Oreochromis niloticus: one gene and its partners. Each later gene encodes a partner of the first gene's protein in a complex. Links are inferred from orthologs where the notes say so. Each region holds a gene or a part of one and is shown on either strand. Other genes may lie near its edges. The genes, in order: gins4, gins2 and mcm4.

Evidence for each region.
Region 2: the proteins of gins4 (region 1) and gins2 are in contact, whole or in part, in a crystal structure (PDB 2E9X), measured with the Homo sapiens proteins. The link is inferred for Oreochromis niloticus from reciprocal best matches to the Homo sapiens genes GINS4 and GINS2. Residues at the interface, in NP_115712.1 of Homo sapiens: Pro23, Ala24, Ile27, Glu28, Glu31, Trp34, Met35, Lys38, Phe39, Gln57, Met61, Leu73, Lys74, Ser76, Ile77, His78, Met80, Glu81, Arg84, Ile85, Tyr87, Val88, Ser91, Asp166, Asp168, Ser169, Tyr170, Val171, Phe172, Val184; in NP_057179.1 of Homo sapiens: Met1, Glu5, Phe8, Leu9, Glu11, Lys12, Phe21, Leu23, Asp24, Lys25, Ile26, Tyr27, Leu28, Ile29, Gly30, Trp47, Leu48, Asn51, Leu52, Arg55, Lys57, Phe135, Gln139, Glu140, Ala141, His142, Ala143, Lys144, Leu145, Asp146.
Region 3: gins4 (region 1) and mcm4 share a complex: the UniProt entries of both Homo sapiens proteins name them as parts of the CMG helicase complex. The link is inferred for Oreochromis niloticus from reciprocal best matches to the Homo sapiens genes GINS4 and MCM4.

What each region holds. Positions count from the first base shown.
Region 1 is NC_031977.2:13,065,455-13,069,205, reverse strand, and holds the start of gins4 (DNA replication complex GINS protein SLD5), read right to left. Parts: upstream 2,191-3,751; 5' UTR 2,012-2,190; coding exon 1,913-2,011; intron 1,819-1,912; coding exon 1,732-1,818; intron 29-1,731; coding exon 1-28. UniProt on the Homo sapiens protein: Required for correct functioning of the GINS complex, a complex that plays an essential role in the initiation of DNA replication, and progression of DNA replication forks.
Region 2 is NC_031965.2:23,289,757-23,293,507, forward strand, and holds the start of gins2 (DNA replication complex GINS protein PSF2), read left to right. Parts: upstream 1-949; 5' UTR 950-1,077; coding exon 1,078-1,167; intron 1,168-2,393; coding exon 2,394-2,508; intron 2,509-3,080; coding exon 3,081-3,180; intron 3,181-3,289; coding exon 3,290-3,416; intron 3,417-3,751. UniProt on the Homo sapiens protein: Required for correct functioning of the GINS complex, a complex that plays an essential role in the initiation of DNA replication, and progression of DNA replication forks.
Region 3 is NC_031982.2:18,517,385-18,521,135, forward strand, and holds the start of mcm4 (DNA replication licensing factor MCM4), read left to right. Parts: upstream 1-1,386; 5' UTR 1,387-1,493; intron 1,494-2,149; 5' UTR 2,150-2,154; coding exon 2,155-2,218; intron 2,219-2,313; coding exon 2,314-2,472; intron 2,473-2,557; coding exon 2,558-2,721; intron 2,722-2,804; coding exon 2,805-2,906; intron 2,907-2,998; coding exon 2,999-3,094; intron 3,095-3,273; coding exon 3,274-3,369; intron 3,370-3,751. UniProt on the Homo sapiens protein: Acts as a component of the MCM2-7 complex (MCM complex) which is the replicative helicase essential for 'once per cell cycle' DNA replication initiation and elongation in eukaryotic cells.

The DNA of each region.
Region 1 (3,751 bases):
CTTTCTTCACCCGCTGCAAGTTGGACTCCTGTTGGTGACAAAACTGTCAGAAATTAAAGGGTCCTTTTATTCAGGTCTACTCAGAATGACCAGAAAAGCAACAGCCCTGGGATATGTTTGAATATCACAGTGTTAATACCATCCTAATCATCTGAACTGAATGAATCTCCACAGCTGGATGTATAGTAATGTAATCAAGGTCCTACTGACAGGCAGCAGCTTTAGATAGTAGTTTGCCACAGAGCAAACCACATTGCCCTGAATTGTTTGAGATTTTATTTTGAAGCCACCACATTACATTTGACATGACCATCAAAGTCTTGATATCAATTGCAGGTCTTCCTATAGATCAATTTATCCATACTAATAAAACTAAATCATAAGAAAACCAGCAATGAAGTGCTGATCTGTCAGGTGACAGAAGAAATTAAAACATTTTTGTAATAATTCAAGTAAATGAACAAAAAGCAGAAATCTCAGATATTCCCGAATTCAACTTCTATATTTTGAACATTTGATGATGTTTTTTGACCCACTGAAAAGTAAATTACTTTCTTTAAACTCCAACTGAAAAATAAATTAATTTGTGTGTATAAAGTGGCATTTTGAGCTCTAGTGAATTGTAATGGGTATTTTTCTACAAACCTTTGCTTTTTATGGGTTAAAAAAAAGCAAAATTCACAGTTTAGAAGAGGTGGAATGCACCTACTTTTGTTTGTTGTTTGTTAAGACACTTAACATTGACCTATGAATCATCCGAGCACGAAAAGGTACCGAATTCGAAGGAAAAGCCAGTAATGCGTCTACAAAAACAACAGACAACTTAGCAAAGAAGCTATTTTAACGTGTTACTTTAGGGACTTTGCTACTGGGAGCCTGTAGCAAAAAACACATTCTTTGTTTTCAATCCTTTAGTTGAATCTATTAAAAATGCCAAAGAAAAAAAACATTTTACAGGTATGAAATTATATTTCTACACCAACAAGATGATTCTCACTGAGCTACTAACCATTGAGAATCAGCTTGGTATATCTCAGCATGTGTGCCATTAAATAAAATTGTGCAAACTGGACAGGTTCTTTTCTGAACAAGTCATTTTTCAGCATGGCAATGATCCCTAACACACTGCCAATGCAGTAAAAGCATACCTGGATGGGGAAAAAAAACAAAAAAAACCCCCCAAACATAAAAAACAAAAACAAAAAAAAAAACCCCACACAGTGGAACACTATCAGTCATGGATTGGCCTCGACATTATTGAAGCAGTGTGGGATCATGTTGACAGAGAACAGAACAAAAGGCAGCCAACATCAAAGAGCTTTTAATGTCCTTTAAGAAGTCTGGAGAACAATTCCTGAAGATTACTTAAAGAAATTACAAGAAAGCTTGCCCGAGAGAGTTCAGGCTGTGTATAACATAAAGGTGGTCATACGGAATATGGACTTTCAAGCTCATTAGAATTGTACCAACTCTTTTGCCTTACATTCTGCATGTCAATTTCACTACATCATAGCAAAACATAAAGAAGTGAGAGGTGGCTCGAGACTTTTGCACAGTACTGTATATAGTTTTCCCTCTGCTGCATTTGAATCAGTCATGCACATTCTCATAGGTTGCAGTCCTTCGCGTTTCAGTTGCTGTTTTGCAATTCAGAAACTCAACTATAACCATGCATGCTGCTGAACATTAGAAACAACCCACACCGCAGGAGGTATTCCCCGGGTAGTTTACCATATGAGTCAGCTGCTCCATCACACACTCCACCACCTCTGATTTGTTCTCCAGCAGCTCCGGTGAGAACTTCTCATTTAGCCAAGCCTGTGGGCGACACACACGGACACAACAGTGAAGACGGTGCTGAATATCTAATAGAGGTGAAGAGTCTGCACGTCAGGGGAATAATCTGGCCTACTTCTTCCAGTTTAGCGATCAGCTCCGCCGGGGTCATAACATCCTCCTGGGTGTCATCCTGGTTGAAGTCGCTGCCGTCATCAGACAAAGCGTCCGACATGGTTTTCAGTAAAAATACAACGTTTCACCAAAACGCAGAATATCTCTTGAATTAAAAATAAATTAATAATAAAAACAGAGCAATTAAAACTGAATAATATGAGGGAAAATGTACCAATGCGACTACTACTGTCACAGCAGCCACAAGTTAGCGGAAAAACTCGTTGTTTATTCGCGCCACTGGGATTCTTCTCGCGAGATTTACAATGTGCCCATTTACCTGAGTTTAGCTTGTCAGGCAAGCCTTCTCGTAGGCTTAGTATAGTTTTTATTAATAATTGGACGGAGCATTCAATAAAAGACAGTAAATTAGTTTCTAGACATTCAGGAAGGATATTGATCGGGGATGTTGAGGATTTTCTGCTACAGGAGCGCAAACTTTAAAAGTTCAATGAGCCCGGTTTTTCCTGAAATACAAAACTGAGGGAATCTAATCTATATAACACGTGCTGTGAATACGAGCAATACACTCAAAATATTGCATGTTGCTGAAGATTGTTGTAAGTAATGCTAGAGTGGTAGAAAGTGGTGGGAGAAGCATTTCTATGGCGTTTTCACGCATCATAATTAGTGGTTATGTTATTGTGCTTATATTGCGAGAGATATCTTTATATAGATTTATTATATATTTTATATATTTACAGATAATTACTGCTAATACTATCAAATATATAACTCAAGCATTAATTATGATCTAGAAAAACCTCATAGAAATGTTTCCTATACCACTAATAGACATAATATAATAGACACTATATAAAAGACAGTGACAGCACAGGGTACGGCATATTCACTCAAGAAATACCAAAAGATTGTGATTATTACAAACACACAAAGAAATAACTGATGCCGTAGAAGTCAGTTTGATTTCCTAAGTCAGCATGTCATTCAATTTGATAAAATTTAATTGCCAAAACAACAGTTGCCAGTAAACAGTAAAGGTGCTTTGTATTGTAAAGCAAAGACTCTAAACCAATAAAAAGAAACTCAAACAATCAGATGAATCATTATGAGCAAGCGGCTCCCTTTTAATGGGAAGAAACCCCAGGCAGAACCAGGCTCAGGGAGGCCGTGCCGTGAGTGGTCGGGGATGAGTGGGGAGGGAGGAAGCAAAAACGACACTGCGGAAAAGAGCCAGAGATTAAAAATAACTAATGATTAAATACAAAGCAGCATATAAACACACAGAGTGTGAATAGAGTTGAGTTAAGAAGAAATGCTCATTGCATCATGGGAAGCCCCCCAGCAGCTTAGGCCTATTGCAGTTTAACTAAGGGAGGGTTCAGGGTCACCTGATCCAGCCCTAACTATATACTTTATCAAAAAATGAAAGTTTTAAACCTAATCTTAAAAGTAGAGATGGTTTCTGTCTTCAAAATCCAATCTGGGAGCTAGATCTACATGTTATCTGGGCTCTTAATCTGCAGTTTCATTAGTGTGAATTCAGAGATCATCTGCTTCACTCATTGCAGCTCTTTCAGACAGCCTTACTGCAGTATCTCATTTGTCCTATTTGCTCCTTCTCGTCACTCCTCATTGCACTTGCTTCAAAGTTCTTTCATATTTTTTCCCTGCACTGCAGCCACCATAGTGATGTTCAGTGTTGCACGCTATCAGCATCCTTTGAACTTATCTGGACTACATCAGACCTGCAAGGTTGCAGCTCTCACCACATGCCTCAGACAGCTGCAGTTTCCTTAATGCACATCAGCAAACACAAATAACAGAAAGACTATATTGA
Region 2 (3,751 bases), on another chromosome or scaffold:
GATTTGTTGATCCCAAAAGGGAAATTACTTCAGCAGCAGAAAGAATAAAAATAAAAACAGTATAATGAACAACAGAAATATTTTTAAAAAGTACGATAGGAAAACACCGAAGGCTGTAAAATGTGAAAATTTCATGTAAAACTGTGATAAAAAATGAAATATGAATGAAATAGAAAACATAATAAGACTGAGGTTATGTAAAACAGAATTCTGCAGATTGGTAATGCAAGAATGGTTCTTTATGGCAACAAGGTTGAATAAGTCTGAGGGAGAATGAGCTCTGTAGTGTAGAAAGGAGCAGGTGTGATGGGTTGTCCATGATGTTCAGTGACCTCCTGTCTCTCACTGACCCAAATGCCTCCAGATAGACTGATGATCCTTCCGTCAAAGCTGGCCCGGATGCTGGCACAGACCGTTAGAAGTTCTTCAACATCTTGCTGAACACACTGAAGGATCTGGACTTCCTCAGAAAGTAATCTGTTGATCCCCTTCTTGTACACAGCATCGCTGTAGGTTCTTCAGTACAGTCTGTCACTGAACACCAAGTATCTGTTGTTAGCTGTCCACTGATTCAGCCTCCTCACCCACGATTCTAATGGGTTTAGACCCAGTCACTGACAAAAACATCTTTGTTCTCACATGAAAAAGGTCACTGCCACCTTTCTTGTTATTGCCTGGTGAATGCTGCCATCTGGTGGAGTTTAGTTGCAACTGCTGTCATTGTCACATGGCCCACTTCCTTCTTCCGGGCCAGACAAAGCTAAACTAAAATTTAAGGTATGGTCAGCTTCGTCACGGCCAGGCCCGCGCCTCAAGCGTAAGTTAACAATTTTAAAAATGCAATTTCCACCGAGATAAGAGAAATTATACAGAAAAACAAAAAATAAAAATGTGACGTGCCGTAAAACGGCACACAATAATGTTCACTTTTGCGATACTGCGCTTCCTGTTGATGACGTAGTTGGCTTTTTCTTGCCTTCATTGTCGGTTTATGCTGCCTTCAGCGCGGGAACGGTTTGTAGTGCAGTTCCAGTGGGAAGGAAGTTTTTGAACACACATACAAAAAAACAAACAGATATGGATCCTTCGGAGGTCGAGTTCCTTGCGGAGAAAGAGATGGTGAAGATAATACCAAATTTCAGCCTAGATAAAGTCTTTTTAATCGGGGTAAGTCAGCCGTGTCTGTATTTAAGCAGCTGGTTTTTGACCAGATACTGAGACGTTGACAGTCACTGTAGAAATATTAGCTAAACCTTGTGCTAAAACCTTGTGTTATATCACGACACACTCAGTATAAAGCTGAAGGTATGTATGTATGTAAAGATATTTCTGTTTGAGTGGATCACTTCACTCAGCGACTGATTAAAACACGCACAAAAAAGCTTCATCTCTCAAACTCCAGATGGTGACTTTAACGAACTACAATCCATTTTACATAAATATAAGTCGCTCCAGCTAAAATAAAATATGTCTAAATATATTTCGAAAAAATTGAAGCTCCAATAATATTCGGTACCGTATCTTTGGCCTTTCAAAAAGTACCCCGAACGATTACTGATATATTATACTGCAGTTTTTAGTATCGATCAAGTAAATACAGGCTCAGCGCTGCAATAAAACGCACTTTTCAGCTTTATGTATTTTGTAGTTTGTTTGTTTGTTTTAGATTATTTTATTTTTTGGGGAGACTTGGAATGTAACTGTGCCTGTCTGTAAAACACTTTGGGTCGACTTCTGTTTTAAATGTGTTATATAAACAAAGCAGACTTGGCTCCAAAAATCGCGCATTAATGTGTTGACTGTCACCATGAAGAGTGTATGAGGTTTAAGAGAATTGTTGAACATTTTCCAAACCCCCCTTTTTTCTTTTTAAATAATAAAAATAAATAACAGCTAACAAGATCCTCCTGCAGCATGATGTGAATTTACCGACAGTACACTGTACTGTCTCAAGCTCACTTTGAGCTTGAGATCTACGGACTCAGTGGTCTTTTTTTGAAATAAACAGCTAAATACTCATCTTTTTAAACTTGCTTTTGGTTGATTTTGATTTTGTTTTAGCTTCTGTGAAGCACTTTGTGATTTTATCTTAAAAGGTGCTATATAAATAAAATTTAACTTACTTACTAGAGTAAAGTCATGGAATATTTTTCTGTATTTTTTACATAGCTGGCTGCACAAGAGAACCTTTGTTATTCATCAAGCTCTCAGGATGGCTCGTTTGATGTAAATCAGATTGTAGCTTGTAGTTACTGCTGTTGGAAAGAGACATTGTTTATCTTCTAGCAATGTTTTTTATTAATCATGAAAATGCAAATGTGTAGCTTTCCAACTTCACTGAAGTGGGGAATGCATTGTGCTGCACGATAAAATATGTGTATTTGTGTTCTCAGGGAGATCTGGGTCCCTTCAACCCTGGACTACCTATTGATGTTCCCGTGTGGCTGGCTCTAAACCTAAAACAGAGACAGAAGTGTAGAATTATTCCTCCTGAGTGGATGGATGTTGGTAAAGTTCAAAGTTTTTCCTGATGCGGTCTTTGCAGGTGTTTGTTTCCAGGCATGAACTCAGGTTTTTCCTTTTAATGCTGACAGGATTACTTAAAAATGTTTCACATGAGGGTCTTTCAGTATTTTGAGTATTATTTCCTTCACATTATAACATTTGTAATCATTACTAGCCTACCATGTTAAGCCTAGACCTGCCTTGCCATAACTTTGACTGTAAATAGTGCTAAAATATTTATCTCCTACGACTATTTTTCCAAGTTTGCATTAGGTAAGTAAAAAAAAAATGGGCACAAGAAATGCAGTAAGATTGTTCTCTTAGTTGTAAGAGGTAAATTATTCAGATTTTGTGTTAGTTACAAATGCAAAATGTGTAAAATATGTATGTCACTGTTGGTCTGTATGCTGTAAGAAATGCTGAAAAGAATCAATTCATTGGTGGTTTTATTTGGAATTTCTGTTTTGCTTCTCCTACAAAAGTCAGCTGAAAAGAGAGGAATCTTGAAAATCTTTCATAGCATTTTTGTGTGTCGCTGCAGTTTGCTGCTGTTGACATTTTGCTTCACTGTGCAGAGAAACTGGAGGAGATGCGAGACCTTGAGAGAAAAGAGGATATGTTTACACCTGTTCCCAGTCCTTACTACATGGAGCTTACCAAGCTGCTACTAAACCAGTGAGTCATATACAATTAAGTAATCCACAGAAATACAGCCCTCAGTACTGTTGTGTGCTTGGTGTATGTGCCGCCTCCCCTTAAAAGAGAGGTTTCTGTGTTTCTGCAGCGCGTCTGACAACATTCCTAAAGCAGATGAGATCCGTACACTGGTCAAAGACATCTGGGATACTCGCATTGCCAAGCTCCGCCTGTCTGCTGACAGTTTCATCAGTCAGCAGGAAGCTTATGCCAAGGTAAAACTGATCACATGTAGGGTGTTTAGTATTCTCTGCTGTCACTTAACCATTGAGTTTTGAACATTTAATTGAGTTGAAAACAGATGCAAAGTAAGTAGAAATACAACAGCATAATAGACAGAATTACCAGTTCCACATAGAAGCACAATGTGCATTTATTTAGTATCCCTTCAGCTTGTGGACCCATTGCATATTGAGGTCCTTAAGAAAAAGTGTCATCACCTTAAGTTCCCCCAATTTAATTGGCTGTATATAAGCATTCAGTAAATGTTGTCTATAAGTAATGTGGAATTTAATTTAAGTGTTCCATAATGTGTTTTCTTAACAGCTAC
Region 3 (3,751 bases), on another chromosome or scaffold:
CAGTGCAGAGTACACCACCTGTTTCACTGTGAGTGAAGCAGATCAAAGCTACATGAATGCATCTGAATCTGTGCTTCATGGAGAGGATACAGGTGAAAGTGCTAACATGATCAAAGCCATAAACTTGCTTACCCAGCACAAAAAGTGCAGATGCTTTGTAGTTGTTAGCTTTATATGACATAACTTAATGTATTAAACTCATGTAAAATTATTCAAATTATTTTTAGGCTTTCTTCTTTTAGCTGCTCTCTTTAGGGGTCACCACAGTGAATCATCAGCCTCCATCTCACCCTGTCCCTAGCATCTTCCTCTGTCACGCCAAACCTCTGCATGTCCTCCTTCTCTACATCTGTAGTCAGAAGTTTGCATATGCTCATCATGGGCATTGATGTCATGGTGAATTTGGGGTTTTTAATGATTTCTGAGTTGTTCATTTTCCAGGGTCAAATGTATACATACAGACTCAGATATACTATACAGCCCTACTAATATTTGGTCAAATGTCAAGTTGCATCTCACCCAGATGCTTTTGGTAGCCATCAATGATTCTCCGTTGGTCAGCATTGTCTACTTATAGTCGATCATAATCAACAATGGGAAATTAATAGGCCCTTTCCTTGTTGAGTTAAAAGACACTGCAGAACCTTCAGTACCAGTTATAAAAAGATTTAAGTGAGTGCATGTGGAGCCATTAAAGATTTATGCTGTACAATCATTCAACACAGGGGAAAAAATCAGTTAAAGAAATCATTAAAAACCCCAAATCATCATGACAGTCATGGCCACAATGAGTGTACACAAACTTCTGTGCATTACTGTGAACACAAAAATGTGGGATGCGCTGGACCTCATCATACTGAGAGCTGTTTCTTCTCACCCACTGGCCTACATGAGTACCTCTGACTGTAGTGAAAACCAGTACAACCACCGCTGTAACATAACCGGGTGAACATACATCCTGCATGTAGACTAGGAAAAGAGGGTGAATAGTATTTCCCGGTTAGCTTCTGCTGTTGTATTAATTCAAATGCTACATCTTTACATCCGTAGCCTGTCACGGATTTGCTGTCATTTTGTATTTGGGAGGCGGTTTCACACTTGCGTGTTGTTTGGATTGTTACAATAAAGATTAGGGCAGGGGCAAAAAAAAAGTCCCTTACTGCTGGGCCAAACCAAATCGATTGAGGGTTTGAAGGAGCACATGAGCGCACAGGAAACGCAGATCTTATTTGACATATCAAAATTAAAAAATAAAAGTTCATTTATTTATTTATTTCCTATTTAATCCGTTTGTTTATTGAGTCTACAAGATGCTAAACTGAAGCCGGATAAGTAAACGCTGGACAAGAACCCCCCTTTTTCGGTGAAGGGATCGACCGGAAAGAAAAGAAAGACAATCCCAGCCTCTCATTGGCCCAAAGTTCCCCGCGAAAATAACGTCACCCGCAGTTTCGCGCCACATCTTCTCCGCTCGGACGTATACACAAGAAGGGGTAAGAAGAGACATGTATAATGATAGTTTTTAGGTTATTACGTCGGTAGTTTTGGTGGTTTCGTGAAAGCGTGATACGCGAATCAGGTTGACTTAAACGTGCACGAAGGTGTTTTGTTGTTTTACGCTGACGTTTAATGTTAATCGAAGTTAAAACATCGCAGTCGAGGATCAGCTTATTGTGTGCTCTGCAGCCACATGTCAAATGGAGGTCGAGGGTTTAATGCAGTTAGTGCTTTAGTGAAAATAAGACACTTCAAAACTTCTAAAAAAGACACGCAGTGTAGCATATCAGCGTGCCGGAAGTGTCATTTATATAGTTAAGTGAACTTTTCTTGCTGTTTGACTGATATCTGGAAGCGATTCAAGCACACACTCATAACATGGATCCAAGTATCCAAGTAGCGAAAAGCAGGCTGCCCACAGTTTATATCCATCTCATGTCATTTTCTCCACAAAGCTGAAAAAAGATCTAATAAAACAAAAAGGAAATAATTAAAGTTTTTCAGCCAGCCACATCTGTGAATGTCAGTTTTCCAAATGCTCAGTCAAACTTGAAGCCATCACCATCAGTGATGTCCCACAGCCAGAGCGACAGTATGTAACAAGTGTTATTACATTTCCTTCACTGAGTGTCACCTTTTGTTGATTTCCCAGCAGCAATGTCTTCTCCAGCTTCAACCCCTGGTGGCCGTAAGCGTGGAAGGAACACCAATCCACCCACACGTAAGTTCCCCACTTGCTCCAACCTTTTGCATATGGACCTCCTGTGATTGTATGATGACCGTTGCCTACTTTTCTTCGTGTCTGTGCGACTTTAGCCAGCAGCGAGGACCCCACCTCGCCTCCCTCTCAGCGCCGCAGAGGTCAGGACTCCTCCACCGGGGACCTGATGCCGATGCCCACCTCCCCAGCCACGGACGTGCTCAGTCCTGCAGCACCCCAGGACACGTCTCTGCTCTCCAGCCCCCGACCTTCGGGTATGACGTGTTTGAGTTGTTGTGGTCTTGTGGACTCAAATTTTGGATTCTTGGATTGTTTTATAAATCTGCCTCCTTTTAACAGTGCCCCCTAACGAGGTGGACATGAGCTCCCCCTTGATGTACGGGACCCCCAGCTCCAGGATTGAGGGAACCCCACGGAGCGGAGTGCGGGGCACACCAGCCAGGCAGCGTCCTGATCTGGGATCGGTCAGGAAGGCTCCCCAAGTCGATCTTCACTCTGAGCCGGTCAGTAATCTTGTGTTTGTCATGTATTGAGCTCACATGAAGCCCGAACCCTCAGAAGTTAACTATTCACTGTCTTCTCTCAGCCGAGCACAGATGGTGCCGTGGCCAGCGAGTCGAACGCCGGGCAGAGGCTGGTGATCTGGGGGACTGATGTGAATGTCGGCACCTGCAAGGAAAAGTTTCAGGTATTGAGCCGAGGCAGCTAAATCCCATAATAAATCTCATGTAGGCAGTCCATGAGTTAACATTGGCATGCTTTGCGTTCCGCTGCTTCCAGAGGTTTCTCCAGAGGTTTGTTGACCCGACCTCCACTGAAGATGAGAACGCTGGTCTGGACCTGAACGAGCCGTTATACATGCAGAAGCTGGAGGAGGTGCAATTTTTATTGTTTGTGTTGCTCCAAACGTGTTTAAGTCAGACTCGCACTGCATGATGGTGTTTCTGAATGATGAACAATAGCCAGGAAATTAGAGAATACAGGAGGAGGCGGTTGCGCGGGATTGTATTCAAAGACGTAATATCACACAACGTGCTTCTCTTCTCGTCCCACAGATCAGCGTCGTCGGCGATCCTGTGATGAACGTGAACTGCCGCCACGTGCAGTCCTTTGATGCAGATCTTTACAGACAGCTCATCTGCTACCCACAGGTAAAGCTCGCTTCATCTGCCATCATCTGTTTATTTTTTTTCTTTACCATTGTTTTCATTCCCTCATTCGGTGTATGTGTGAGTACGGATTAAACGGAGGATGAAAACTTGAGCCCTTGATGAGTGAAATGGCAGCCTTCTGATTTTTATAATGAAGTAATGCGATACAGCAATGTCTTGAATAAATTAATGAATAAATAAAAATAAAATAAGTGGATGCAAATGCAAAGGGAGAAGTGATGTACAATGTAACACAAACAAGATTATATAGAAAACAAATGGATAGGTGAATGAATCCAAAGACAAATACAGAAGCAAATTGTAACGAATGTCATTTTGCTTTTTGTTCTGTGAAGGATTTATTTTATTTTTTATTGTTATA